Callithrix jacchus: one gene and its partners. The protein of the gene in region 5 purifies or fractionates together with the protein of the main gene of each other region. This does not show direct contact. Links are inferred from orthologs where the notes say so. Each region holds a gene or a part of one and is shown on either strand. Other genes may lie near its edges.

Region 1 (4,253 bases), on a different chromosome or scaffold from region 5:
GCTTAGGCTGGGGTTGCTTCGGGGGAGTCAGTTACAATCCTTATATTCACAGACACTGACAGCGAACTGATACCCTCCCAGACGGCAGGAGGACACCGACCTTCTCTGACTCTTTCTCTGTAGAATAGTGGGATGATTCTTCTGATTTTCCACTGTCCTTGGCTTTGGCTTCCTCTAGCAGAATTGTCATGGCTTTCATAGCTGCATCCTGCTTGGCCACTTTCTTGCTTCCAGCTTCAGCTGGGGGAAACTCTCGGCCATTGATAACAACCTGGAATTTAAATCTTGATGGAAAGCAGTTAGATGTGTGAACAGGTCATTCCTTCTGCCTTCTCCAAAGAGACCTTCAACCTGGAATTTTCTGCTACGCTAAGGGGCTTTTGACCTGTGGAGGGGATGAAGGGTAGGCCAAGGAACTCCTACTCCTTTGAAGGTTCAACCTGTCCTTTCTTTTTGTAAACAAAGCTGCCAGTGACTCTTTCCCCATAGAAGCAAACACGAGCACAGGTGATATGAAACTATCTCAAGGGAAACCCACTATCTCTTAACAATGAATTTTCTCTCTCCCCCCCCCCCCCACATACGCACACACACAATAAGCCAAAAATTGCCATTACAGCCTTGTTGACAACCAAAAGACCTTCATTCTAGAGCGACTGTGGTAGACTGGCCTCCTTAAGGGAGGGTCTTAAAAGACAGTGAAAGTTTCTTATAACCCAGTCTCACGCTCCCCAGTACCTGCAGGGATCAGGCATCTGCCACTCATCAGTGGCCTGCTTTCGTCACTAGACATTTATCACTATGGTTTGTTACAAGTCACTCTATTGCTCCATTTGTCTCAAGCCTGAGATGAAAGGAATTTCCCTTTGTTACGAAGACAATAAAAAGCATTTGTTCTAGGCCTCTGGACTTAGCCTAGGCCCTGCTTTGTTCAAGCTTTCAAATGTGGTCAGCTCTTTGCTCAATCTACGATTTCATTTGGGAAGTAGGTCAAATTTCTTATTTCCTAGGTCTTCTGAAATACTGAACATGGCGCCAATGTTTCTTATAGTGCTGAGTCTAAAGAATGATTAACCACAAAATCCACTGCTTTCCTCCAACTCCGGGGAGGGACAGAGGCAAAAGAGAATGACAGCCATCCAGTCTCTACTCCAAACAAACGATCCAGCTCTGGCCTTGCCAGCTTTTGGACAGACATACCCCCTTTTCTTAACAGCTCTCCTGAAATGCCAATGTGGTGACATGAAAACAGTCAAGACAAAGAATAAGGGCCCTAGCCAGGAATCTACACCCCTAGAACCAGGCAAGGTAAGCATAAGGGTCAGTGGAATTCTCCCCAACCCACTGGCTCTCTCCTTGGCTGCAGCTGCAGCCACCCAGCTTCAGTGGTTTTGCTTTCTGCTATGCCCTTCAGCAGCTCCTGTTTTATCTGTCTACTGGCCCATTAGGACCCTACAGTGCAGGGCCTGGCCAGCTATCTGAGTGAGGTAATCGCTGACTTCACAGCTCAGGAGCAGCAGCAAGTGCTAGCCCACCCATCTGTGCAGAGGAGGTATATAAAATTAGAACCATCACCTTCAATAGGCAGCCAGGCAGCCGTGCACACGCTCCTCCATCCCTCCCCCAAGGAGCTGTGCAGAGGGGGGATTGCGGACCTGTGCTGCTTAGCAGCACAACCCACCCCCACTCTGTGTGTGCAGCCTGCCCCAACCCACCTGCTCCTGCACCTCTCTCAGAAACAGCTTGGGGAGGAGAGGAAGGCCCGCAGAAGGGAGTTAAGTCTTCATTACCTCTGGCCTTAGGAGGCAAGTATGGCATTGATGGATGAAGACCAATCATTTCTTTTTTTTGAGATGGAGTCTCGCTCTGTTGCCCAGGCTGGAGTGCAGTGGCGTGACTCAGCTCACTACAACCTCCACCTCCTGTATTAAAGCGAGTCTCCTGCCTCAGTCTCCCAAGTAGCTGGGATTATAGGCACGCACCACCATGCCTGGCTCATTTTTGTATTTTAGTAGAGATGAGGATTTCACCGTGTTCGGCCAGACTGGTCTCGAACTCCAGACCTCATGATCTGCCCGCCTTGGCCTCCCAAAGTGCTGGGATTACAGGTGTGAGCCACCACACCTAGCTTCCAAGACCAGTCATTTCTAAAGAAGCTTCATTACAGCCAACAGAGTCAACCTCCCCCTTGTTCAACCAAGATTCTGGCTGGTCCAAAGTCTATATTCCCTGCTCAACAGCTGGAGAAAGGGCCAATCAAGGATTTAGCTACAAGGCAGAAGGGAAGGAGGAAAAGACAGAAGCCACCAAACAGCCCCACTCACACATCAGCCAACACTGTGTCAGGAGCAAGAGCATCTGAACCCAACCGTGGGTAGTTCCTGGGTGGTCTCTTACCGAGGTTCATGGGGTGGTCCACTCTGCTCTATCAGGTTGAACTCACAGGTTTGACTAGCGAACTGAGCATATTCTAACAGCCCACTGATGGGGTTCTTCAGCTGGCACTCTGTCAGTTTCTTGTAGGGTGAACACCGTGGCAGGCCGTGACTGTAGAAGGACGGCATCTCCATGATGGCTCGAAACTCACCTGGTGCTGCGCGGATACTATTCAAGTCATCTGGGATGTCATCTGTGGCCCACTGGCCATTTTCAAAGTCAACATACCCTGCTCTTGAGGGGCCATTGTTATGAACAGGTGGTTTCAGTCTTACTGGCTCTGGTCTGGTCTCTTGCCTGTTTTCTAACTTTACGACAGGTTCCTGCCCATTCTCCACTTTTTCTGTGGTTACCATGTTATTTGAGGCATTTGACGTGGGTAAATTACAGGTGGGGAACTCTGCGTGCCTTTGAATCTCAGGGATTGCAGACGGAGCTGTTTCAAGAACACTGTTCACGTTTCTCTTAATTTGCATCCTCTCTCGCTTCTTGTCTGTCAAATGCCACATGGGAGGGGTTGTCCCTTGTCTACTGACATCCCCCTGCCTTTCCAAGTCAATCAGCACAGCATTTATATCTCGGGCCTTGGAGAGGCCAATATTTTTAGCCAAATTCAGGGCAGAGGAGTCAGACACATTGAAGAGATAGTCACAGATTTTCTCCTTGATCTCAGCCATGTCAAAAAGCTCAAGAGGATCTTCTAAGGCAGATGTGGAGTTTCCGTCTTCAGGTTCCAAACTCGGTTCTGAGTTTGGGGCTCCCTGGCTATGACCGTCTGGTCTCACTGCTCTGCTGTGCTGGTTCCGAGCCTGAGCTGAGACTGTGATAAAAGGCTCAGTAAAATCTTCTGAGACAGACGTGGAGTTTCTGTCTTCAGGTTCTAAACTCGGGTCTGAGTTTGGGGCTCCCTGGCTATGACCGTCTGGTCTCACCGCTCTGCTGAGCTGGTTCCGAGCCTGAGCTGAGACTGTGATAAAAGGCTCAGTAAAATCTTCTGAGACAGACGTGGAGTTTCTGTCTTCAGGTTCCAAACTCGGGTCTGAGTTTGGGGCTCCCTTGCTATGACCGTCTGGTCTCACTGCTCTGCTGTGCTGGTTCCGAGCCTGAGCTGAGGCCGAGATTTTCCACAAAGGGGGTATTCCTGCCTCCTTCTGTAGCTTGCCCTTCTTTGCCAGGGAGTATAAAACTCGATTGATTTCCTTCTTTGGGGCCCTAAGTTTCCCAGACAGATCATGTACTGTGGTGGCCTTCCCTTCTCCAAGCTCTTTCAAGAGCTTTAAGATCCTTTGTTCCTGATCCTGGTTGATATTCAGTTCCTGGAAATCTGAGGAAAGGCAATCGACACCTCTCTGTGGCAGAATCCTACCACGTGGTGAAGGATGCTGGAATGCTCTTTGGAGCCCCTGCCTTCCAAAATGCACGCTCCTGGGGACACCCCAGATCTCCTCTTTCCTGAATCCGGTACTGTAGACAGGTAGTGCTGGAAACCTTGGCCAGAGTCCTGGGAGGGAAGGTGACAGTGACGGTGTCTGCTTTCCAATCACTGGTGCTTCTGGGAGCTGGCCCTTGAGAAACTCTATTTGCTTATGTCGGAAACTACTGGGGGAAGATCCCGGCCCAGGCTGCTGGTGTCTGACCTTTCTGTGCTCATAGCCTTGAAATGGATAGGGGTAGTATCCACTGAGGGAATGCCCCTGCAGAGTAAGACAGTGGAAAAGAAAATGAATTAGGCCGAATGGTGAACCTGTGGAGGCCCCTCCCTTTGCTGCCTATGGAACAGCCCTTAATGGGCTGCGAAGGTGATTGAGCCATGGGCT
Region 2 (4,253 bases), on a different chromosome or scaffold from region 5:
ACATCACAATAGGTCACTGTCACCTCCATGAATTCCCAACATGTACTCTCAGCCCAGCCAGGCCAGGCCCTCAGTGATGCCAGAACACACCACAGACTCCCTCTTCCTACGCTGATTCACCAAGCCTCACCAAGTCTCCCTCCCGCCATCCCTCCACCCCACCTCCCAGTCTCTACATGGCACCTGACCCATCTCTGACCCCATCATATACAGATGTACATGGAATTCTCTGTAAACATCGATTATAATGCAACTTGATAAAATGAGCCACTGGAAGGAAAATACTGTGTCTTATCTAAAGCTGCCTCACCAAAGATAAAATGTGGCATTCTAATACCTCAGGCACATGGGTAAGACCAGTCTTGTGTTCCTGTCACCTCTAATGTCTGGAGTCTGCCCAGATTGAACACTCCCTCCTTAAAGAAGTCTTCCCTCAACAGGGGCCAACCCCCTGCCTCTGGGCGTGCTGGCACCATCAGCTGTAAGGACCTCAAGGACAGGGAACCAGGCCCCATAACACAGAAGGTGCCAATACAAGCTCCGTGCTGCAGGACAGGCTTTTTGCCCTTTCCCCAGACTTCAAGGGTTTTATCCACCAGCCTCACTGAAACATGGCCCTCCAGCCATTGCAAAGCTTGCTCCTTCCCAGACAGGCCCCTACCATGCTAAGGCCTGTCTGCTCATCAGCGCGTATGCGTCAGGCCAAAGCTCAGACTGCCTCCAGTCCTACCAGTCAGTCCTTGTTCTGCGCTCCCGTCATAGGGAGTACATTCCTCCCCCTTTACCTCACCACTTGCCTGTCCCCTCTTCCTCACCTTTCTCCAGGTTCTTGTTACCTCTCACCATCAGCTGTAACTAAAATGTGGTTCCCAGAGCCAAATGCACCAGTGAAATGGTGCACCTGACCATCCAGAGTAAAGCAGGCCTATTTCCATCTTATACCGCAAACTAAACCTCCACCAACATGGGCTGAGATTCGTAACTCCTCAGGCAGTAAGATACAATCCCGCCGGGCGCGGTGGTTCACGCCTATAATCCCAGCACTTTGGGAGGCTGAGGCGGGTGGATCACGAGGTCAAGAGATAGAGACCATCCTGGTCAAAATGGTGAAACCCCGTCTCTACTAAAAATACAAAAATTAGCTGGGCATGGTGGTGCACACCTGTAGTCCCAGCTACTCGGGAGGCTGAGGCAGGAGAATTGCCTGAACCCAGGAGGCGGAGGTTGCAGTGAGCCGAGATCGCACCATTGCACTCCAGTCTGGGTAACAAGAGCGAAACTCCGTCTCAAAAAAAAAAAAAAAAAAAAAAAAGAGCGAAACTCCGTCTCAAAAAAAAAAAAAAAAAAAGACAATCCCCCTCCCATTAACTGTGCCATCAGCTAACTCCACAGCCCCTTTTTCAAGAGAACTGCCATGGCTGGGAGTGATGGCTCATGCCTGCAATCCCAACACTTTAGGAAGCCAAGGCAGAAAGATCAATTGAGCCCAAGATTTTAAGACCAGCCTTGGCAACACAGTGAGACCCTTGTCTCTACAAAAAAATGTTAAAAAATTAGGTGGGTATGGTGGCGCGTGCTTATGGTCCCAGCTACTCAGGAGGCTGAGGTGAAAAGATAACTTAAGCCCAGGAGGCCAAGGCTGCAGGGAACTGTGATCGTGCCACTACACTCCAGCTTGGGTCACAGAGACCCTGTCTCAGAAGAGAGGACTGCCAGCTGCCTGCCACGCTGCCTCCACCCAATGCTGACTGCTTCCTTGATCTTCACTGCAGTCACAAGTCCTGCGCATCAGCGCATGTGTGTCAGGCCAAAGCTCAAACCGCCTCTAGTTCTACCAGTCAATCCTTGTTCTGTGCTCACATTATTCATTTTGGCCACAAAGCCCAGGTTATCAGGATCATATTGGACATCAGGTCTGCCTCCCAAAACAGGCTCAGCTCCTCCCAGCTTTATACTATTCAGAACGATGAGCAAGTTTCCTCCTGGCTTCACCACGTTCAGGCCAACGGTGTGAAAAAGGCTGGGCCACAGGCAAAGCATCTCCACAGGGGCTCTGGGGAAGCCGTGAAAACAGCCACAGGGCCTAAAAATGAGGCCCGCACACCAGCTGTCTTTGTGCCACGCAAAAGGCCTGCTGTGGTGGTTTCATTTCCTAGAAAATGAGACCCATTTGCCACAGGTAGAGGGGAGCTTCAAGATATCTTCATGCATCACACCCAGGACCTTACTGGACTCACCTTCAGTTTCTTGCAGGCCAAGGCTGCCGCCTTATTCTCAGCCTCTGCTTTGCGGCGCCCTTTGGCAACAAAGGTCATGGGGCAGGGCCAAAGCAGGGTGAGCGTAGACAACTTGGTCTTGGTTCCCACAGTATGGAACTGCATGAGGTTCTACATGGAAGGCAAGAGAGGTGGTTACAGAAAGGGAGGAAATGAGAAGAGACTTGGGGCCTTCTCAGAATGCTAAGGAGCCCAGACATGGAAGGAAGTAACGCCTCAGCAGGTGCCAGGCATGAGCCACGCTGAAAGTGCTGCTGCACAGCCAGAAGCAGGCCCATGGGTTCAGGCAGCCTAGTCCCGGGCTCGCTCCTCCTGCTATAGCTCAACCTCCACTGCAGAAGACAGTGCTCAGGCAATGCCACGACTTGCCCTCCTTGGCAGCTATGGGTTGAAGCTGTCAGCATGAGCTAAAAACCAGGCACATACTGCAGGAGCAAAAAGGCCCTGCACCTGGACAGAAGCTCTGCTTACCCAAAGCCTCTTTGCCTGGTAGCAAGAGAGGAATTCATACCTCACCATAGACCCAGACCTCTAACCCCTCCAACTGACAACACACCACCCAGAACAGGTGCAGGTGTAGGCCGTCTGCTCCTGCAGCCCCTGGCCCTCTCCCTGTACTGCTGGGATTTGGCTCTGTCACATCTGCTACTTTTCCTTCCGAGCCGGAGCTCCCCCAGCTGGCCTAGGTGTGGGCTAGAGAACAGGCCCCTCAGCCTTCCGTAAGCCTGCCTCTGGGGAACACTGGACGTGACCAAGTCAGCACCCCACACACACTTCTGGGAGAGCTAACTCACCTTAGCTGTGGAGGATGACGTTGCAATCTGAATCACCTTGGCCAGAAGGTTCTTGGGAAGTGGAAACTGGGTCAGAGCCCTAATGGCACTGTCATCATCTGTCATCTCAAAGGAACTCCCCCTGGAAGGGACAAAAGTTTAGCTGAAAGTTCTCTCTCTTCGTGGACCCATTTCCTCAAGGCTCTGAGATGCAGGAGTGAGGACGCTGCACTGCAGCAGGGAGCCAGGAGGCATGAACTGGATGGGAAACTGGACATCTCTGCTGCTCCCAGAGTCACACCGCATGGGGAGTGCTCCCTCCATGCCCCCACACAGATAAGACAGCAGAGGGCAAAGGCTCCATGCTGCTGTTCTGCAAAAGCCCAGCCACACAGTAGAAGACCATAGCTGGCTTCTACGCAGACATATGCTGAGTGACGGGACACACAGGATGAAATGTGAGGCGGGGCACTCCCATCTCAGAGAAGGCTAGCAAGGAACATTCGCACAACCCTGTGTCAAGGTACAGCCAGCCTCTACTGCATCCCCAGCCCCCTTCTGTACCTTGAGTCCCTGAGTGGGGTGTGGGAATCCTGCTGGGTCATGGACAAGAAGTCGGTAACATCTATGGTCCCTTCTTCTAGCTCTTCCTCCTCATCCTCCTCTTCATCCCGAACCAAAGAGCGGGATAGGCCCCCAGGTCCCCCTGGCCGAATGCTCTCCGGATTCAGCTGCCGCCAGGAAGTAGGGGGCATGGTGGGTTCCGGACGCCACCAGCTGTCAGCAGGGGAGCCGAAGCGATCAGCTAGCACTCGGTATTTGGCTGCGTCAAACAGCTCATTCCGGGGACCCAGCAGACCCCAGCCCTGGAGGGGAAAAGGGACGCTGAAAAGATTCATACTATCTTTACCCCAGTCGGCATGGCCCATGTCCATCTACACCGTGAAGTCCCTTGTGTTGTGGAGCCAGTTTTTCATCTGTTAACCCACTTCAGCCCCTAGTCCAGAAGTGGGCATGGAACACTGAAAGATGCCTAGCTTTGAGACAAATAATCCCACATGGCAATGGCTGAGCAGAAGATACCTTTTTTTTTTTCCTTTTTGACACAGGGTCTCACTCTGTCACCCAGGCTGGACTGTAGTGGCACAATCTCGGCTCACTACAACCTCTGCCTCCTACGTTCAGGTGACGCTTCCAGTTCAGC
Region 3 (4,820 bases), on a different chromosome or scaffold from region 5:
ATTATAATCATTATGATTCTAGACACTCATCTAATATTTTGTGTCCCTATAAGGGACACAAATATATCTAAGTGTGAATAATCACACTGTGCATGTCTCAAACTATGCAATAGAGAATTCAACTTTGCAGTATCTAGAGTTTTCCCTCTATTATGATCTGCACACATAAATGATCAGATACCCAGCACTGAACGTGTCTAAAAAAAAAGGAGATAACAGGAGTAAAGAGAAGGGTAGGCACAAAGGAAAAAAAACAAAAACCATTTGGAAGACTATCTCTTCTAGAACCTAAACAGTAATCCTCGATTTCTGGATTATCTGTATATTTAAAAGCTTGATGACTATCTCAGATTTTTTTATATTCATATTCTTTGTTGAAAAGCAAACCAAGTCACCCTTCCTAGCACTTCATTCCAGACAAGCCAAGTAAGCTAAAATGTAAAATTCACACGATTTTCCAAGCTGAAGTATTTAGGAGTTAAGGACCACAATGTATGTAACTTAAATGGTCCAGGGGAAAAATATTTTGTGTCTGATAGAGAGCAAATAATAAATGCAGAAAACATTAACAGGTGAATCTGAATAAAGGTTACCAAAATGTTTGTATTATTCTTGTAATTTTTCTGTAAAGTTGAAATTATTTCCAAATAAATTAAAATTTTTAAATTACACAGCATTCTATTTGAAATTAACAATACATACTTGGATCATACAGCAACATTCTTACAAATACAAAACACTGGTTTTTATGGAAAAAAATATGCAGTAATTTGTGAGCAAGTATGTACCATATCCTACCAACTAATCATCACTTAGGAATAAATTTCAGACTACCCTACCATATAATAAAATGTGGCAATGGTGACTTGACTTGAAACCATAGCAGGAAAAACACACAAACACACCAGATAGTTTGGCATAACTGCTTCACAAATTTAATACAGGCCTGCTGCAAAATGCAGCAATCTACAATTAAAGTGATATGTGATATCTCTGGTTCGCAGTAAAATACAAATTGAACAATGAAAATCTTGCCATATTACAAAACAGAAATGGAGAGTAAGTCTTGGTTTTGGTAGTTTTATTAAATAACATTTTTCCACCGCAGCTCAGTTCACAACTGTATACTTGAACCACCTAGAGAAAGCAAGGACGGGGAAAAAATATCCTGGCTTAATACTGAAATATTTTCTCCTCCAACGTTACTATCATCCTGCCTGCCCATCACAATTTTGATTTCAAGTATTCACTATGCTGGTCTAAAACAGAGGATGCATCAGAAACCAAGTAATGCTCAGCAAAAGTTCACTAAAATTATAAAATCAAACATAAAATAATAAACGTTTTTCAGTTAACAGTAAAGTATCTTTAAAGGATCATCTCCATCCTTTCTTCAGGATCCACCCACTTTAAAATCCTTTGGTAAGTTCCCAGGTCTATCCGAATTGAATGGTCCCTCTCTATCTACTTAAACAGTTCTTAACCCTTTGGAGTGGGGATGGGGGTAGGGGGACATCACAGACAATATGGACCCTTACCAAAGAAAATTATTCACAAATGCAAAATTCTACACATACATCCAAGGACTTTCAGAACCCCACGGCCATTATGCCCATCCCCTCCAGAATCCCAGCGTGGCGTGCTCCTCAATCGCCTCTGCGGAGCACCCCCCGCCTCCGGGCCACAGCCCCCGGGTTGCCCCCGGAGAGATCGGAGTTCCTGCTCTCACACAGTGGATTCCGTAACAGAGCTTTGTCTCCTCGCCCAACTCCCTTCACCCTGGCAAGGTCACTACCGCCAACTACCCCTTTAAGCCGAGCCATCATGGTATGAGTTCGTAGGAGCCACAGCAGAACTTGCCCGTCATAGGATATATTTTGTCCCCTCGGCCCCACCTACCTTCCCCATTTCGGCAAGTTACGTCTTTACCACTCACCCATTCTACAGAAATAGCCGCCGCCACCCCCCGGAGCGCCCCGGCCCCGTCGCTCCGCCTCCAGCACCCTCAGGCCCATTCCCCGCAGACCCTCCCCGGGTCGCCCTCCTCAGTCCTCCCCCAGGTGCTCCCCCTCCCTCACGGCCACACTGCGGCTGCACTCGCCGTCCCCTCTTCCGGCCGTAACCACCCTGGCCTCCGAGACCCCCAGCCTCCAGCGCCCACAGCCGCGCTCCTGCCTCCCCCACCTCTGCACCCCGACTTGGCCCGGCCTCCTCGCCTTCTTCCCGGCTCCTCCCTCAGGACACCTGTGTCGTCCCACCCCCTCCACCACACACGCCCCCCCACACCCCAATTGCTTCGCCTCCCGGCCCTCCCTCCCTCCCCCGCCGGTCTCCCCTCCCGCCGCCGCCCGGAGAGAGCCGGAGGAGGGAGGGAAGGCGCGGGGGAGGGGAGGCCGCGAAGGGGGCCGCTGTTCTCCGGGTTCACCGCGCCGCGGACCTGCAAGGCTCCCCAGCGCCCTCTGCCTCCTCCGCCGTAGGGGCGGAAGTCGGGGTCTCCCGGGCGCCCCAGATGAGGGGTATTTACCTTCTTGCCGGGGACACTTTGCCGACGGCTCCAACATTGGCAAACACTACAGTGAACTGACCCCGCTCGGCCGCCGCCGGCTTCCACCCCTCGGGCTCCCCGCCCCCCGCCTCCGCCCGCCTCCCCGGCGCTCGCGCCGCGCGCCCCCGCCTGCGCAGCCGCTCCCGCGCCCCAGCACGCCTGGCCGGCGCGCGCGCCCAGCGCCAGCTCTACCTCCACTCCGCCTCCCGCCAGCCCGCGACTCAGCGCGGCCATTGTTCGCGACGCCGCTCCCGCCCCCTGTCGGCTGCCGGGCCCCCGCAGCTGCAGGCTCTGCGGGGCCAGCGGCGGGGAGCTGGACCCCAGGGCGAGGGCCGTTCCCGGGGGCCTTGGGCACGCGGGCGGGCGAGTGCGCGAGGAGCGCGCCCCGTCCGCAGTCTCCTCGTCCCCGGCGCGGCTCCCCACCCCCTCGTCTGCCAAGGGTGGGCCTGGGGCAGCCCCTTCCACACCTGCACTCCGCAACTTCCTTCCCCGCCCGACTGACCGTCTGCTCTTTCTGATCTGCACCCTGTGCTCGGATTCCCCGCTCGTACCTTTCCCAGGCTCTCTGGCTGCCCCTCTCTGCCGTGCAGGGGACGCGCGACCATCCCGCGTCTGCTCCGGCCGCCGCTGTGCGACGCACGATTTAGCGGATCCTGCACCTTTCCAGACGGGGGAGGGGGCGGGGAGGAGTTTGTTTCACCGTCTCGCCCAGCAAACACCAGGGATCCGTAATCACCTGCTCGCCAAGACCGGCGGCGTAGCCAGACCTCCTCCTCCACCGAAAGAATGAGTCACATGAAAAAGAAATCCTTGGAGCCAAAAATGAGGACCATTGAAAACAATGCCCTAGATCCTAGATTTATGCAGCAAGAGTGCCAGAAAACACAAATTACCTCTTGATTCGTCCTGATTTTGATTTGGATTACTTTTGTCTGAATAACTTCAACCCAGTTAAGCTCGATGAAACTGAACACTTCGTTTATTAAACGGCACCAAAAATAATCTGACAATAAAAGAAATTTCGAAACCGAATTATTAGTGTGTTTTCGCAAACTTATCCATTTGCAACGTTATTTCTAGGGTTTCTTCCCAGTGTCGTTTATCTGACTGAGAAATGTCTCCCAGGCCGGTAATTTCAGTCATCATCTAAAACCAATCTCCTGTCTGCAACTGGAAAGGTAGGGTGTGTTCTGGTTAAGGGCCCGGGCGCCAGAGTCAAATACTAAGGCTGGTTATCCGCTTGCTAACTGGAGAGGAGACCGCAGAAATGTTACTTACCCTGTGCATCAGGAGGAGACTACATGTGATATTTTCTATTTAAATGTGACAATGCATATGAAGCCCTTTAAGTAGGGCCTGGCATGTAGTACCTCTCCCAGCACAATGTTAGCTACAGCTATATTTTTCCTCCCAGAACTCTTTGCGCGTTTTCACCTCTGCCAGTTCCCTCAGATTTAACATGTTGCATCCTCCCTAAATCTGTAGCGCTCCTTCTAGGGGCTCAACACCTAGTCAGCATTCTAATATAGTCAGTAGAATGCCTCACCTAACCAGAGGAAACTATGTTCTGAGGAACGTGTCATTAAGCGATTGTCATTTTGTGCACATCATAGTGTGTTCTTACACAAACCTAGGTAGTCTAGCCCACTATTCACCTTTGCTATATGATATATAGCTATTGCTCCTAGGCTACAAACCTGTACGGTGCATTACTGTACTAATACTGTAGGCAATTGCAACACAATGGTATTTGTACCTAAACATATCTAAACATAGAAAACATACAGTAAAAGAACTATATCTTTGTTTGTTTGTTTTTGAGAGGAAGTCTTGCTCTGTCGCCCAGACTGGAGCACAATCTGAGCTCACTGCAACCTCTGATTCTCCTGTCTCTGGTAGCTGGGATTACAGGAGCATGCCACCACACCCAGCTAATTTATGTATTTTTAGTACGGACAGGGTTTCACCATGTTGGCCAGGCTAGTCTCAAACTCCTGACCTAAAGTGATCCTCCCGCCTCAACCTCCCAAGGTGCTGAGATTACAGGCATGAGTCACCTGCAGTATTGTTGTATATGCAGTCCACGCATCCATTATTGACTGGAAGAAGTTGACCAAAAATTGTTGAATGTTTTGAATGAGTATCCTCCCTTCCCACCAGCCATACCAAAGGTCAAGCCACCTATCTCTGTGCCTTTCCATTGGCTATTATCTCTCGCTGCAGGCTACCCTCTACCCTCCTCTCACCTGGTGAACAAATTATCTCTCCCAGCATT
Region 4 (4,945 bases), on a different chromosome or scaffold from region 5:
AGGTTATAGAAAAATTGAAACCCTCACACACTGATGGCAGAAATATAAAAGGTGAAACCATTTTGGAAAACAGTTTGGTAGTTCTTCAAAATATTAGAGTTACTGCGACAAGATCATTTTGATAAAAATATAAAAAATAAAAATTAAAAAGATATTTTAGAGTTATGATATGACCCAGCAATTCCATTCTTTTTTTTTTTTTTAAGAGATGGAGTTTCACCATGTTGGCCAGGCTGGTCTCAAACTCCTGACCTCAGGTGATCTGCCCACCTCTGCCTTGCAAAGTGCTGGGATTACAGGCGTGAGCCACCGTGCTCTGCCAGCAATTCCATTCTTAGGGATATACTCAAGAAAAGAAACGTATGTTCACACAAAAACTTATGCATGAATGTTCATAGCAGCATTATTCACAAAAACTCCAAACAGGAAACAATCCAAATGTCTAGAACTAATGAATGGATTAATAGAATGTGTTATAGTCATACAGTGGAATTCTATTTATCAACAAAAAGTAATGAAGTACTAATACACACCATAACTTGGCTGAACTTCAAAAACATGCTGAGAAGCCAAACTCCAAAGACTACCCTAGACAGAAAACAGATCACCGGTTGCCTAGGGCAGGAGGTGGGAGTGGGGATTTAATATAAATGAGCTCAAAGGAACTAACCGGGTTGATGGAAATGTTCTAAAACTGGATTGTGGTAATGGCTATACAACTCTGTACATTTGCTAACAATCATTGGAGATATAATGGGTGAGTTGTGTGGTATATAAATTATAACTCAATGAAAGGGCTAGAAGAAAAAAAAGGGTAAGTAGAACTTAGTGTTGCAGGTATCTACCTAGATTTCATGTATGTGGAAGAAGTGAGGAGAACAGGGAAATGAACTGGATCATAACAGTGCCACTGTACTCATACACACATAAGCAGACAGTTCACTTTTCAAAGCACAGTCTCTGTGTTTTCTGCTTCAAGATCCAGGGCAAACATCACTTTCTTTTTGTTCACCCCCAACTCTTAAAACATTCATCACTGCATCCCTTACATTACACTGGAACTGTTTTGGTGTTTGCTTCCTGGACTAGATTGCAAACCTCCCCAGGGCAAGGGCAGTATCTTCCTCCGATAAGCTGTAGCTCTGAAGCCCAACCAGTTCTGGGTCCAGAGCAGGCATCAGTGAATGTTTATCAAATTAATGAAAGGAAAATTGGGGTTGGGGGAGGAAATTACCAAACAAGTTTGAAAGTAGAGCTGGGCGCAGTGGCTCACGCCTGTAATCCCAGCACTTTGGCAGGTCGAGGCAGGCGGATAACTTAAGATCAGGAGTTTGAGAACAGCCTGGACGACATAGTGAAACTCCATCTCTACTAAAAACACAAAAATTAGCCGGGCATGATAGTGGCTGCTTGTAATCCCAATTAATTGGGGAGGCTGAGGCAGTAGAATTGTTTGAACCCAGGAGCGGAGGTTGCAGTGAGATTGTGCCACTGCACTTCAGCCTGGGTGACAGAATGAGACCCACTCACAAAAAAAAAAAAAAGAGAGAGGGCCTTATTTTTTGTATATATAAAAGGAGAGAGGGCCCCAGAAATGGGGTGATGGGGTGTGTGTGTATAAAACATATATATACACACACCATTTCTGGGGCCCTGTCTCTTTCAGATATATATGTGTGTGTATATATATAAAATACATTAACTTAGGAGACAGGCTAGACTTGTTTTTAAATTGGTGAAGTATATACCAAGGTATAGGTCTGTGTACCACCCCTAATTTAAACATATCTTCCTTAGATATGGCCAAAAATTCAATTTTATCCAGGGCAGTTAGTTCACAAACAGCATATTAAACTTTCCAAGACAGTCTGCTCAGCAAGCAAACAAATCACTGGAGAAATCTGATTTCCCTGCATATACCTGACAGGGTTAGCATAGAAGCTCAGATAAAGTTCTTGTACATTTGGGTTAGCATTAAGCAGCCGGCTCTACAAAGGACGGTGAAAGGGGTCACAAAAGCAGGTCAGGACAGCTCTTTTCCATCCTTCTCTTTCTATCTCCCATCTTACCCAGTCTTAGGTCAAGTGCAGACCAAGTTGGGACGCTTCGGCCCAGAAGTGACCCCTGCCGTGGCGTTGCTTACGCTGTTCTCAGCAACTCTGGGTCAAGTGTAGGACATAAAGAAGCTGGAGCCAAAGCACACCCAGACCAGTTTCTCGGGCTCCTGGTCCCCACCTTAGAATAAGGGACCCAGCAAGTAGAGGCCAGAGAGCTAGAAACAGGAGTAAGTCAGGGTTCAGTCACCAAGAACAGGAGGAACTCAGGGGGTAAGGAGAAGGCCTTCCAGAGCCCTCGAAGTGTGGGGCTTGAGAGGAGGGAGGCAAGAGACCCTCGGGGGGAAATCTGGAGATTGGGACGATGAGGAGTCAAAGAGTGGTGAGGGACACTTGGCTCGGCTTACGGGGAGTGCCACAGCAAAGGCTGTGGGTCTCCGAAAGGTCAAGTATAGGGATGACAGTCCTCGAGTTTGGGAAAAACTGCGCTGTGATGAATGATGACTGAGGAGGGGAAAAATCCAGGGCCTGAGCGTGAGCGGTCCTTCATCCTCAACGCGCTGGGGGCCCGATTCTTGGGGTGCCAGCGCCCGGATGGGGAGCACAAGTCTGGGAGTCCCGGGGCGCAGCACGGAAGGAGGCGGGCCAGGGGGTGTGACCGCACACCCGGAGGCCGGCTCACGGTGCCACCCGCGCTTCCGCCGCTCCCGGCGAGCCGCGTGGGCGCGTGAGGGGCTTCCTGCCTCCGACTCACCTTCCTCCCTCCCCACTGGCTGGGCAACGGACACTGCTTCCCACAGGCGGCGCGCCCTCTCGCGGTCGAAGCGCACCCCATCCGGCTCCTGGCGCTCCAGCTCCTTGGAGCTGTTATAAGGCCCGGCCCCTCCGCCGTCTGCGGCCTCCACGGTGCCCGGTGCGGGATACTCCATCTTCCTCGCGAGCCCTAACCGTTGGCCAAAAGCCGCTCAGGCGCCTAGGTATCGCGAGATGGGGGCGGGGTGGAGGGGGTGGAAACTTGGCTCGGCTAACAAATCTCGCGAGGTTTGGGCGCTGCACCAGCGCCGCCGTGCGGGACCTGGCGCTTATTTTTCTTTGCTACCTCTGGGACTCCGGAGCGTGTGCTGTAGATTCGGAAACCCGTCGCTGATTCCACAGCAGTGACTTCCCTCCCGGAGGGACTCGTGCGGTTTTGACTCAGGGCTCTCACTTTGCTCACGGTCAGTCTTTAACACTTCATTTCGTTCTCAAGGTCCCTTTAAGTGGGAGTGTTTTCGCCGTTTCATTTACAGGGAAACACCCAGAGCCTAGAAATGGTTAACTCAAGAGTTCGCTGCTAGTAAGTGGTAGTACAGCTGAGGTTCCGTATTACTGCTAATAATGGGTACTATTTGTTGACTTCTAAATGCCAGCCCAGCTCTGATTTTCCCCGCGACTCCGGACCTGTTACATACATCCAGTTGCCTATTTCACAGTTCCACTAGAATGGCTAATAGGCTTTCCAATGTAACTGTCAGACCCCATATTTTATCTTCCAACCCCCGAGCTGCACCTTCTCGTGTCTTTGGGAGCCACTATCTCTTGCCTAGGTTACGGTCGTAACATTCTCACTGGTATTCCCCGCACAGCAGCCCCAGGGATCCTCTCATGACAAATCAGATCACGACGCTTTGGTTCTCAAATCCTCCAGCAGCTTCCCATCTCACACTTAGTAAAAGCCAAAGTTCTTACATTGACCAACAAGGTCCTGTACATTCTGAATTCCCTTAATCTCCTTGACCTCATTTCCTCGTGTGTTACTCAGTCTCCAACTCCTTAATTCCTGTCCCAGTTACACAGGCCTCCTTGTGTGCATTTCTTCTATATATCTTTATGGCTTGGTCTCCCATTTTCTTCTCTGGCTACTCTATCTAAATTATCTTCTCTGGCTATCCCATCTAAAATTTTACTCCTCCACACACACTCATGTCCTTCTTTCCTGCTTTATTTTGTATATATTTTATTTTGTTTATTGTCTCCCTACTAGAAGACAAGCCCCAGGAAAGCAGGGATTTTTGTCTATTTTCTTTTATTTTCGATGGAGTCTCCCTCTGTCGCTCAGGCTGGAGTGCAGTGGTGTGATCTCGGCTCACTGCAACCTCTGCCTCCCAGATTCAAGCGATTCTCCTGCCTCAGCCTCCTGAGTAGGTGGGATGACGGGCACATGCCACCACGCCCAGCTAATTTTTGTATTTTTGGTAAAGATGGCATTTCACTATGTTAGCCAGGCTGGTCTCAAACACCTCATGATCTGCCTGCCTCAGCCTCCCAAAGGGCTGGGATTACAGGCATGAGCCACCGCACCCGGCCTTTTGTCTATTTTCATCGCACCTGAATCTCCAGCACCTTGAAATAGAACCTGGACCCTCCTAGGTACATATACAATATTTGTTTAATGAATGAAGCTTTTAATATTACTAGCTTATTTCAACTTCATTTGTTCAAATACTTATGGAGGATTTACTATGAACTAGATATTTTGAGCATGGAGATATACTGGTGACCAAGACAGGGAAGCTCTAGTAGAGTATTTTTTATTGTAGTGGAGGGGAGTACAATAATAAAGTTAACAGTAGGCCAGGCATGGTGATTCACACCTGTGATCCCAGCACTTTGGGAGGCTGAGGTGGGCCGATCACTTGAAGTCGGGAGTTCAAGACCAGCCTGAACAACATGGAGAAACCCTGTCTCTTCTAAAATATAAAAAATTAGCTGGGTGTGGTGGCGTGCGCCTGTAACCTAGTTACTTGGGAGGCTGAGGCAGGAGAATGACTTGAACTTGGGAGGTGGAGGTTTCGGTGAGCCAAGCTCCTGCCATTACACTCCAGCCTGGGCAACAAGAGCAAAACTTCGTC
Region 5 (4,763 bases):
AGTGCTATAAGGGTTGCAGAAATGAGCAAGCTTTGGCCAGGCACGGTGACTCACGCCTGTAATCCCGACACCTTGGGAGACCAAGACAGGTGGATCACTTGAAGTCAGGCATTTGAGACCAGCCTGGCCAACATGGTGAAACCTCATCTTTACTAAAAATACAAAAATTAGCTGGATGTGGTGGCGTGCACCTGTAGTCTCAGCTACTCGGGAGGCTAAGGCATGAGAATGGCTTGAAGCCGGGAGGTGGAAGTTGCAGTGGCCTGGGTGACAGAGTGACATTCTTTCTAAAAAAGAAGCCTTCTTCTCAAGATGCACCTCAGCCTCCTGAGTAGCTGGGATTACAGGCACACGCCACTGTGCCCAGCTAATTTTTTTTGTAATTTTAAGTAGAGACGGGGTTTCACCATGTTGACCAGGTTGGTCTCGATCTGCCGACCTCGTGATCCACCCGCCTCGGCCTCCCAAAGTGCTGGGATTACAGGCTTGAGCCACCGCGCCCGGCCTAGGATGCTTATTTTCTAAAAGAGAAGATAATATAAGAAAATTCCATAAGCATTTTAGGAGAAGGTATGAAGTCTGTGGAAGCAGCTGGGAGGGACATCTTTCCAGCTAGCTGTAGGGACTTAGGTTTCATGGAGACACTAAGCTGAGCTCTGAAGGATCTCTAATAGTCCAAAACAGAAAAGGTGATTCCAGCCTGGAGGCGGGAATGTACAGAGCATATTTGGAGACAGCAGGCAGTGTAAGTGTAAGTTGTATTGGAGTATGTAAGTTACAAGGAAGCAGTGGTTGTTGAGAATAGAAAGATAGGTTAGGCTAATTTGAGGTAAAAATGTAGACTTTCTTGCTTAGGCAGTGGGGAGCCCACTAAAGACAGCAGGCAACTGGATATCCTACTTTTTCTTTTTTTTTGCCCAGGCTGGAGTGCAATGGCACAATCTTGGCTCACTATAACTTCCGCCTCCCATGTTCAAGTGATTCTCCTCCCTCAGCCTCCCAGGTAACTGGGATTATAAGCATGTGCCACCATGCCTGGCTAATTTTTTTGTTTTTAGTAGAGATGGGGTTTTATCATGTTGGTCAGGCTGGTCTCGAACTCCCAACCTCAGGTGATCTGCCCACCTCGGCTTCCCAAAGTGCTGGGATTACAAGTGTGAGCCACGGTGCCCAGCTAGATATCCTACTCTTAAATTCAGGAAAGGGAACTCTCCTGGAGTCAGTAACCTTATCCTCTGTAAAACAGTTAGAACCTACCTATCACATAGGGTTCCACAGTGCATGAAGGGAGATTGTGAAGATAATGCACTTAACACTTCAGTCATGCTGCAAGGATGGTTATTAGAGTGGGGGTAGGGTGTTTGTATTAGAGCATAGGGTAGGGTGGGAGAGAGGGAATCCTGCTTGCTTCTTGGCTAAAGAGACTTTCCCCAAAATCTGGAAATAGCCTACATTTCACAGGTATCTCCAGCCTTTAATTCTGTTTGTTTTTCCTCCCAAGTAAATAATTTCCTAATATATACCTATCTTTTTTTTTTTTTTTTTTTTTTTTTCAGTTTTTCACAGACCTACGGGATGGCGTCATCTCAGATACGTTTGACAAACGAGAAGTAAGCACTTGAAAATCATCAGAATTTTATTTATTTCAGTGTTTTATTTTTTACTATTGATTCTCACTGTCATTACAGAAAACTCTTCTACGGAAATTACTCTCAAAGAAACCTGAGGACCGACCTAACACATCTGAAATACTAAGCACCTTGGCTATGTGGAAAAAACACCCAGAGAAAAATGAACGAAACACATATTAGAGCCCTTCTGAAAATGTCTCTGCTTCTGATTTGCAATTTTCCTTGAATTATCTAATAGATATTTACCTTTTAACTTTTCCCTCTAATTTTTTACTACATTTGCAGAAAGGTTTTCTTCTTTTCGCTTCAGAAACATTCTTACATGTTATTTGTATCTATTATAATAACTGCTTTAAAGACAACTGTCCTGTAAGGCAGTAGCTACGAAGAGAAAATAGTCCAAATAGTCCATCGGGCAGGGGTGAGATCACTTTCTACTGAGGACAGTCCAGTGGGCCTCCCAAGTATATGTGAGGGTGTTAGATTACGAGTAGGGAGGATACCACCCAGGAAGTCTGGACAAGGGGACTGGGGTGAGTTCTGGAGAAGGTGTATTTGAGGACCATGGGGTATGCTAGTTTGTTGTCCTGAATTGCTGTAGAGAATGCTGAAAGATAATTTGGATTGTATCTGAGAAGACCTTGAGGGTTAATTTTAACTTTAGAGCAATTGTTTTCTTTTCTTTTTTTTTTAGATGGAGTTTCGCTCTTGTTACCCAGGCTGGAGTGCAATGGCATGATTTCGGCTCACCGCAACCTCCGCCGCCTCCTGGGTTCAGGCAATTCTCCTGCCTCAGCCTCCTGAGTAGCTGGGACTACAGGCATGCCCTGCCATGCCCAGCTAATTTTTTGTATTTTTAGTAGAGATGGGGTTTCATCATGTTGACCAGGATGGTCTTGATCTCTTGACCTCATGATCCACCCGCCTCGGCCTCCCAAACTGCTGGGATTACAGGCTTGAGCCACCGCGCCCAGCCTAGAGCAATTGTTTTCATTTGTTTTGTATTGCTTTAAATGGATAGTTGACGCTGGATAATTTATAAGGGAAAGAGATTTCTGTAACTTACAGTTCTGCAGGCTGTATAAGCATGGCACAAGCATCTGCTTCTGCTCAGGCTGCTTCCACTCATGGTGAAAGGTGAAAGGGAGTCGGATGTGCAGAGGTCACATGGCAAGAGAGGAAGAAGAGATAGAGGGAGAAGGTGCCAGGCTTTTTTTTAACAACCCGCTCTTGAGGAAACTAACAGATTGAGAACTCCTTGCTTCCCACCCCTAGGCATGGCATTAATCTATTCGTGAGATCCCTCACGACCAAAACACCTCCCATCAGGTCCCACCTCCAACATTGGGATCAAATTTCAACATGAGGTTTTTTGTTGTTGTTGTTGTTTTTAATTGTACTTTGGGTTCTGAGGTACATGTGCACATCCTGCATCCTGCAGGATTGTTGCATAGGTATATACATGCCATGGTGGTTTGCTGTCTCCATCCCCCACCTCCCCCGCTGCCTTGCCTACATCAGGCATTTCACCCAGTGTTATCCCTCCCCATCTTCCCTGCCCCCTCACTGCCCCTACTCCACCTCACCTAGCCCAGTGAGTGTTGTTCTCTTCCCTGTGCTCAAGTGTTCTCATTGTTTATCACCTACCTATGAGTGAAAACATGCGGTGTTTGGTTTTCTGTTCTTGTGTAAGTTTGCTGAGAATGATGGTTTCCAGGTTCGTCTGTGTCTCTATAAAGGACACAAACTCGCCATTTTTTATGGCTGCATAGTATTCCATGGTGTATATGTGCCACATTTTCTTTGTCTAGTCTATCATTGATGGGCATTTGGGTTGGTTCAGGTCTTTGCTATAGTAAACAGCGCCACAACGAACATACGTGTGCATGTGTCTTTATAATGGAATGATTTATAATCCTTTGGATATATACCCAGTAATGGATTGCCGGGTCAAATGGAATTTCTATTTTTAGATCCTTGAGGAATCGCCACACTGCCTTCCGTAATGGTTGAACTAATTTACACTCCCACCAACAGTGTTTCTAGTTAGGGCTTTGAAAATAAACAGCACAGTATACACAAAAGTAAATGACAACGTGGTAGTATATTTTACATTGTTTTACAGTTTCAAATTTCATATGAATGTTCTCAAACAAATTTTAAAATTCTTTTCAATGTTTTGGTTCCCTTGATGTTCCTTGTTGCGTATGTATAAAGTCATTAAAGACCTAAAAATAAGTTTTTATTCATATTGAAAGCCTGATTTTTTTTTCCTTAAGATGAGGGTCTCTCACTATATTGCCCAGGCTGATCTCAAACTCCTGGGTTCAAGGGATTCCCAACCTCACCCTGAGTAGCTGGGACCATAGGCATGCACCACCGCACCTGGCTGAAAGCCTGGATTTTTATCCTTCGATAGACAAGAACAGAAGGATATCTCCCACACTCTAAGCTGGTCTAGTTTTATTCCTAGGCCTGTAAATGTAGACCACAATCCTGGTGAAGTCATGGGTTCCATCAGTGTTATTCTGGCATTATCAGCATAATTGTTATCAACATGTTTAAAATATTTTAGGCCATGGAGCAGGTGTGGGTTGTCCCCATAGTAAGAGGAGAAAGGGAAGCCAGTTCCTGTCTAACTCAATTCCATCTGAAATTGTCCATTCAGCTTTGGGATTTGACTGAAAGTTGTTATGTTGGCTGATAATAACAAAGTATTGCAAGGGTAAAATGTGCTCCTCTGTTTTATTAGTAGCTAGGAATATAATTATATATATACATATACATATATATGCGTTTTGTGTATATATATATATTTTTTGTTTGTTTGTTTGAGACAGGGTCTTGCTCTGTCACCCAGGCTGGAGTGCAGCAGCATAATCTCAGCTCACTGCAACCTCTGCCTCCCAGGTTCAAACAAATCTCATGCCTCAGCCTTCTGAGTATCTGGGATTACAGGCATGTGCCACCACACCCAGCTCATTTTTGTACTTTTAGTAGTGATGGGGTTTCACCATGGTGGCCAGGCTCAAACTCCTGGCTTCAAGGCCTGCCTTGGCCTCCTAAAGTGCTGGAATTACAGGAGTGAGCCACTGCACTTGGCCAATTTTATAATTTATTTTTTTAAACAAT
Region 6 (4,971 bases), on a different chromosome or scaffold from region 5:
ACACCGTCTCTACTAAAAATACAAAAAATTAGCTGGGCATGGTGGCGCGTGCCTGTAGTCCCAGCTACTCGGGAGGCTGAGGCAGGAGAATTGCTTGAGCCCAGGAGGCGGAGGTTGCAGTGAGCCGAGATCGCGCCATTGCACTCCAGCCTGAGTAACAAGAGCAAAACTCCATCTCAAAACAAAAAAAAAATAAAAATAAAAAATAAAGTAGATTCTGTGACATTAATAATCTGGGGCAATCTGGTAAAAGTCAAAATCGCTAATGTTTTGATACAATGTTCAAAATTTCTTTCAAAATAATCTAGTTTGAGAGTGGGATGCAACATGAAACAAGACCGACCTTGGCTATGAGTTAATAATTGTTAGAGCTGAGTGACTAATACATGGGGTTCTACATACTATTCAATTTTTGCATATTTTCCAGAATAAAAAAACTTTTAAAAAATGGTATTCGAAATACCATTTCCCTATTGCAATATGCCATTGTGATACAGCAATAGAAGACATGCTTTATACGGCTTGTGTACTAGTTGTTTGGTTACGTGGTGGTGTTTTGTTTTGAGACGGAGTTTGCGACAGCCCAGGCTGGAGAGCAATGGCGCTATCTCTGCTCACTGCAACCTCCACCTCCCAGGTTCAAGCGATTCTCCTGCCTCAGCCTGCCGAGTAGCTGGGATTACAGGCACCCGCCACCACACCCGGCTACTTTTTGTATTTTTAGTAGAGATGAAGTTTCACCATGTTGGCTAGGATGGTCTCGATCTCCTGACCTCGTGATCCACCCGCCTCCACCTCCCAAAGTGCTGGGATTACAGGCGTGAGCCACTGTGCCCTGCCTGCTTACTTTTTTTTTTTTTTTTGAGACGGAGTTTCACTCTTGTTACCCAGGCTGGAGTGCAACGGCGCGATCTCGGCTCACCGCAACCTCCGCTTCCTGGGTTCAGGCAATTCTCCTGCCTCAGCCTCCTGAGTAGCTGGGATTACAGGCACACGCCACCGTGCCCAGCTAATTTTTTTTTTTGTATTTTTAGTAGAGACGGGGTTTCACCATGTTGACCAGGATGGTCTCAATCTCTTGACCTCGTGATCCACCCGCCTCGGCCTCCCAAAGTGCTGGGATTACAGGAAAGCAACCGCGCCTGACCCACATGTTTTAAAAGAGCAATTCAGGCCAGGAGCGATGGCAGGCACCTGTAATCCCAGCTACTCAGGAGGCTGAGGCAGGAGAATCGTTTGAACTTGGGAGGCAGAAGTTGCAGTGAGCCGACTGCACTCCAGCCTGGGAGACAAGAGTGAGACTCCATCTCCAAAAAAAAAAAAGGCTGTAAGAAAATTCTAGGAAAATTTGTCAAAAACAAGGAGGGCACTTTGCCACATGTGTGTTATTAAAAGATGGTTATAAATCAAAATATTTTCAGTTCACTAAGGAAATTCAATGCCTACAACGATACAGGAGGATCACTCAGGTAAACACACACTCCTTACTCGTATAAAATTTAACATTCATAAGTTGCATTTCCTTTGAGTACACCTATAAAACTAAGTACAAAAGTTTTTAAAACCCAGTATCCTTTAATAAAGTTGCTGTTCTAAAAATCCCACCTGTCACCAGGATAACCGAAACTGCTCCCTCTACACTCCAACTATATTTTTAGTTTTTACCTCAACAAGTAGCAACGTAATTTACATTTGGTAAGCACGGATTCCTGAAAGGCCAAAATCAACCAGGAACCTGATTTAACTGTTTCCACCACGTTCTGAACAATGAAAGCTACAAGCAGAAGAGAAGTGTGACCCCTTAAAAAGGTCCACACGGCCAAAGAACAGTGGCAGGACAGACCGAAGTACGTATCTTCGCGGAACCCAAGAAAACTTCCCACACAAGCAATACTGCAACAAGGAGGCGGGGCCAGGGCTTAAAAGGAAAGTCAGCCATCAGGGAGGGGGGGAATAAAAGCAAAGCTTCGGTGAAAAAACTTAAGAGATGTAGAGCAAGAAAAGACAGACAAATTTTTCCATTTTCGTACACCCCCCCTTCAAAGCCTGACACACTGCAAGTGCTCCAGATAGGTCTGCTTAACACAAGGGAAGCTTCTGCCAGCAACTTTCCCAGAAATGGAATGACAAGAAGCTGGATGATGGCCGGGCGGGGGGAAATGGACAGGTTGCTCATCCTGCGGGAGCTGGTGAATATCCTGCAGTTGGCTAAGCGGAGGAGATGGAAAGAAATAGCATCTATCGTTTACAGACTGCCAACTACAGTGTTCCAATTAAGCGTATGCCTCTTTCAGATGTTAACAACTCAAAACAATGCCCTGGCTCTGGACACGGGCACGCGCAACACTGAGCCTCTAAGAAACCCAAACGGATAGGTAGGTCAACTTCTATCCACTCTACCCATTAAATTATCCTTCATATCACGCTAATAAATTATGCAGACGGTTTATTGGGACACGCTGTGGGTCTGGCACTCTGATAAGCGCTTTACACGCCCCATTTCACTGAACCCTAACAGCCATAAGAGGCAGGGACTGTATCAGCAGCCCCTTTTCCAACCAGGACACAAAGAGTTTAAGTGTCTTGCCTAATGGGGCAGAGCCGGGATTAGCACCCGTTTTGGACACCTGGGCGGTGCTCTTAACCACTAAGCTGCAGACCTGGGCCGGCGAGACTGAGAGGCTCCAGTTCTCGGGGACCTAAAACGGGGACCCCCCACCCCCAGCTTCAGCCCCGGGAATAACTTCGGCATCCCCGCGCGCGCCATGCGGGACGAGGAAAGGCGGCCACGGCACCTGTTTGTGACCCCGGCGAGGGCTGAAGCGGATGGGGGCGCCCGGGGGCCAGGCCTCAGGGCGCCCCGAGGCGGGGGGCGCAGGAGGACCCGCCTCCTCCGGGAAGGCCCCGCGGGCTGGAGAGAGGCCCGGGGGAAGGCGGCGGGGCGCGCAGGCCCGCCAAGGCCTAGGCCCCACCCGCCGCCCACTCCCCACCGCCGCGGCGCCAGCGCGGGCCCCGCCAGGCCCGGCCGGGCCGGGCCGCCTCACCTGGCTGCTGCCCCGAGCTCGTCCCCCGGCCGGCGGTCCTGGGCGGCGGCGGCGAGGAGGGGAAGGGAAGGAAAAAAGGAGAGGAGGACGGGACGAAGGGAGGGAAGAGGCGGAGTGGCCACGGAGAAGGCGGGCGCCGCCGGGCTGGGGGGGGGGTCAAAGGAAGGGGGAGCCGAGTAAGACACGGCAGCCGCCAGCGCAAACGCTGAAGAGCCGCTCCGGCGCCCGCAGCCCGGCAGGAAGTGACGGGGGAGGGGCCGGCGCCCGCCCCCGGCCCCCGCCCGCCGCCACCCCCACCCGCGGCCAGGACCACAAGTTCCGGCGGGCGCTGCGGCACAACCTGCGCTCGCAAGGCACGCCGGTAGCCCAGCGGGAGTGAAGCCATGTCCGGTTTGAGCCGCTGCGGCCAGCCCTGGGGCCCCGGGGCCTGCCGGGAATTGTAGTTCCGGTGGGAGTTTCGCGCTGCCTGCTGGACTAGTAGCGGGGCTGGGAGAACCAGCCTGCCTTCTTTTCCTCCACTTCCTTCTTCCTTCCTTCTCTCGGTTCTTCCTCTTCTCCTGCCTCTGGCCCTCGTTTCTCTCCTTCCCGCAATGTTTCTTCCTTCATCTGTAAATGTTCATTAAATGCTTGCTGTATGCAAGGCATTCCGCCAAGAGCTAGGGATGTAGTGGTGAACAGACAAAAATCCCTGCCCTCGTGGAGCTTACATTCTTGTGTGAGTAAAACACACAATAAATAAATTTAGAAAATTTGGCCGGGCGCGGTGACTCACGCTTGTAATCCCAGCACTTTGGGAGGCCGAGGCGGGTGGATCACGAGGTCTGGAAATTGAGACCATCATGGCCAACATGGTGAAACCCCGTCTCTACTAAAAATACAAAAATTAGCCGGACGTGGTGGCGGGCGCCAGATATGTCAGCTACTGGAGAGGCTGAGGCAGGAGAATCGCTCGAAGCAGGGAGTCGGAGGTTTCGGTGAGCCAAGATCGCGCCGCTGCACTCTGGCCTGGGTGACAGAGCGAGACTCTGTCTCAAAGAAAAAATAAAATTTATAGTGAGATAAAAGAAGTGCCAGATTGCTATTTCTTTTATCCACATCTAGATAAACTACGTGGTTTGTAGCAGCCATGTTATATGGGAGGTTGGAGGGAGAACAGGGTGGCCAGTAGAGAATATTGAACTTCTGGAATCACACTCAGCGAAAATTATGCTCGCGTTGTGAGAGGTCCAGGAAACGGAGAATGAGTGAAGAACTGCAAGTGCACAGGGCTCCTCTCTCCTGCTCACTCGAACTGCTTCCCTGCTATTTAAAAATAATTATCTCTCTCTCAGATATCTCTCAGTTTAAATATTGCTCAATCTCTCTTGCCAAAGGAATATAAATTCAGAATATGAGCGGCTGTGTCTGAAGAAGCCCCTCCAAACGAGGCTTTGGAGCCTTATCCAAGGCTGGGAGGACACCTTTCTCTAGACAAGACCTCCTTACATTGCTTCTTCTGAAGTGCAATGAGACTGAGTTTCAGAACACCGAAAATAGTCAAAGGACTTTCACCGTTCCTTTAGTGCCCATCCAAGACAGTACTTAGGAACATTCAGATATTGTCCAGCCCTCTGCTGAAAGTGATCTTTTTTTTTCTTTCTTTCTTTCTTATTTATTTATTTTTTATAAAGGGTTTCACCACGTTGGCCAGGATGGTCTCAATCCTTTGACCTCTTTTTTTTTTTTTTTTGAGATGGAGTTTCGTTCTTGTTACCCAGGCTGGAGTGCAATGGCGCGATCTCGGCTCACTGCAACCTCTGCCTCCTGGGTTCAGGCAATTCTCCTGCCTCAGCCTCCTGAGTAGCTGGGACTACAGGCACGCACCACCATGCCCAGCTAATTTTTTGTATTTTTAGTAAAGATGGGGTTTCACCATGTTGACCAGGAT

The links.
Region 1: the proteins of EIF2AK2 (region 5) and ADAR purify together in Homo sapiens (affinity purification with mass spectrometry; 3 studies listed by BioGRID and IntAct, with this or other methods). This does not show direct contact. The link is inferred for Callithrix jacchus from reciprocal best matches to the Homo sapiens genes EIF2AK2 and ADAR.
Region 2: the proteins of EIF2AK2 (region 5) and DHX30 purify together in Homo sapiens (affinity purification with mass spectrometry; 3 studies listed by BioGRID and IntAct, with this or other methods). This does not show direct contact. The link is inferred for Callithrix jacchus from reciprocal best matches to the Homo sapiens genes EIF2AK2 and DHX30.
Region 3: the proteins of EIF2AK2 (region 5) and STAU2 purify together in Homo sapiens (affinity purification with mass spectrometry; 3 studies listed by BioGRID and IntAct, with this or other methods). This does not show direct contact. The link is inferred for Callithrix jacchus from reciprocal best matches to the Homo sapiens genes EIF2AK2 and STAU2.
Region 4: the proteins of EIF2AK2 (region 5) and ZNF346 purify together in Homo sapiens (affinity purification with mass spectrometry; 3 studies listed by BioGRID and IntAct, with this or other methods). This does not show direct contact. The link is inferred for Callithrix jacchus from reciprocal best matches to the Homo sapiens genes EIF2AK2 and ZNF346.
Region 6: the proteins of EIF2AK2 (region 5) and STAU1 purify together in Homo sapiens (affinity purification with mass spectrometry; 4 studies listed by BioGRID and IntAct, with this or other methods). This does not show direct contact. The link is inferred for Callithrix jacchus from reciprocal best matches to the Homo sapiens genes EIF2AK2 and STAU1.

The regions. Positions count from the first base shown.
Region 1 is NC_133519.1:15,010,889-15,015,141, forward strand, and holds part of ADAR (double-stranded RNA-specific adenosine deaminase), read right to left. Parts: intron 4,131-4,253; coding exon 2,398-4,130; intron 285-2,397; coding exon 101-284; intron 1-100. UniProt on the Homo sapiens protein: Catalyzes the hydrolytic deamination of adenosine to inosine in double-stranded RNA (dsRNA) referred to as A-to-I RNA editing.
Region 2 is NC_133516.1:30,550,100-30,554,352, reverse strand, and holds part of DHX30 (ATP-dependent RNA helicase DHX30), read right to left. Parts: intron 3,916-4,253; coding exon 3,614-3,915; intron 3,192-3,613; coding exon 3,071-3,191; intron 2,388-3,070; coding exon 2,238-2,387; intron 1-2,237.
Region 3 is NC_133517.1:29,341,166-29,345,985, forward strand, and holds the start of STAU2 (double-stranded RNA-binding protein Staufen homolog 2), read right to left. Parts: upstream 3,179-4,820; 5' UTR 3,151-3,178; coding exon 3,097-3,150; intron 2,639-3,096; exon of another isoform or gene 2,525-2,638; intron 1-2,524. UniProt on the Homo sapiens protein: RNA-binding protein required for the microtubule-dependent transport of neuronal RNA from the cell body to the dendrite.
Region 4 is NC_133503.1:69,132,777-69,137,721, forward strand, and holds the start of ZNF346 (zinc finger protein 346), read right to left. Parts: upstream 3,018-4,945; 5' UTR 2,984-3,017; coding exon 2,809-2,983; exon of another isoform or gene 2,749-2,808; intron 2,543-2,748; coding exon of another isoform or gene 2,474-2,542; intron 1-2,473.
Region 5 is NC_133515.1:77,877,294-77,882,056, forward strand, and holds the end of EIF2AK2 (interferon-induced, double-stranded RNA-activated protein kinase), read left to right. Parts: intron 1-1,556; coding exon 1,557-1,610; intron 1,611-1,688; coding exon 1,689-1,811; 3' UTR 1,812-3,866; downstream 3,867-4,763.
Region 6 is NC_133506.1:44,265,857-44,270,827, forward strand, and holds the start of STAU1 (double-stranded RNA-binding protein Staufen homolog 1), read right to left. Parts: upstream 3,289-4,971; 5' UTR 3,045-3,288; intron 1-3,044. UniProt on the Homo sapiens protein: Binds double-stranded RNA (regardless of the sequence) and tubulin.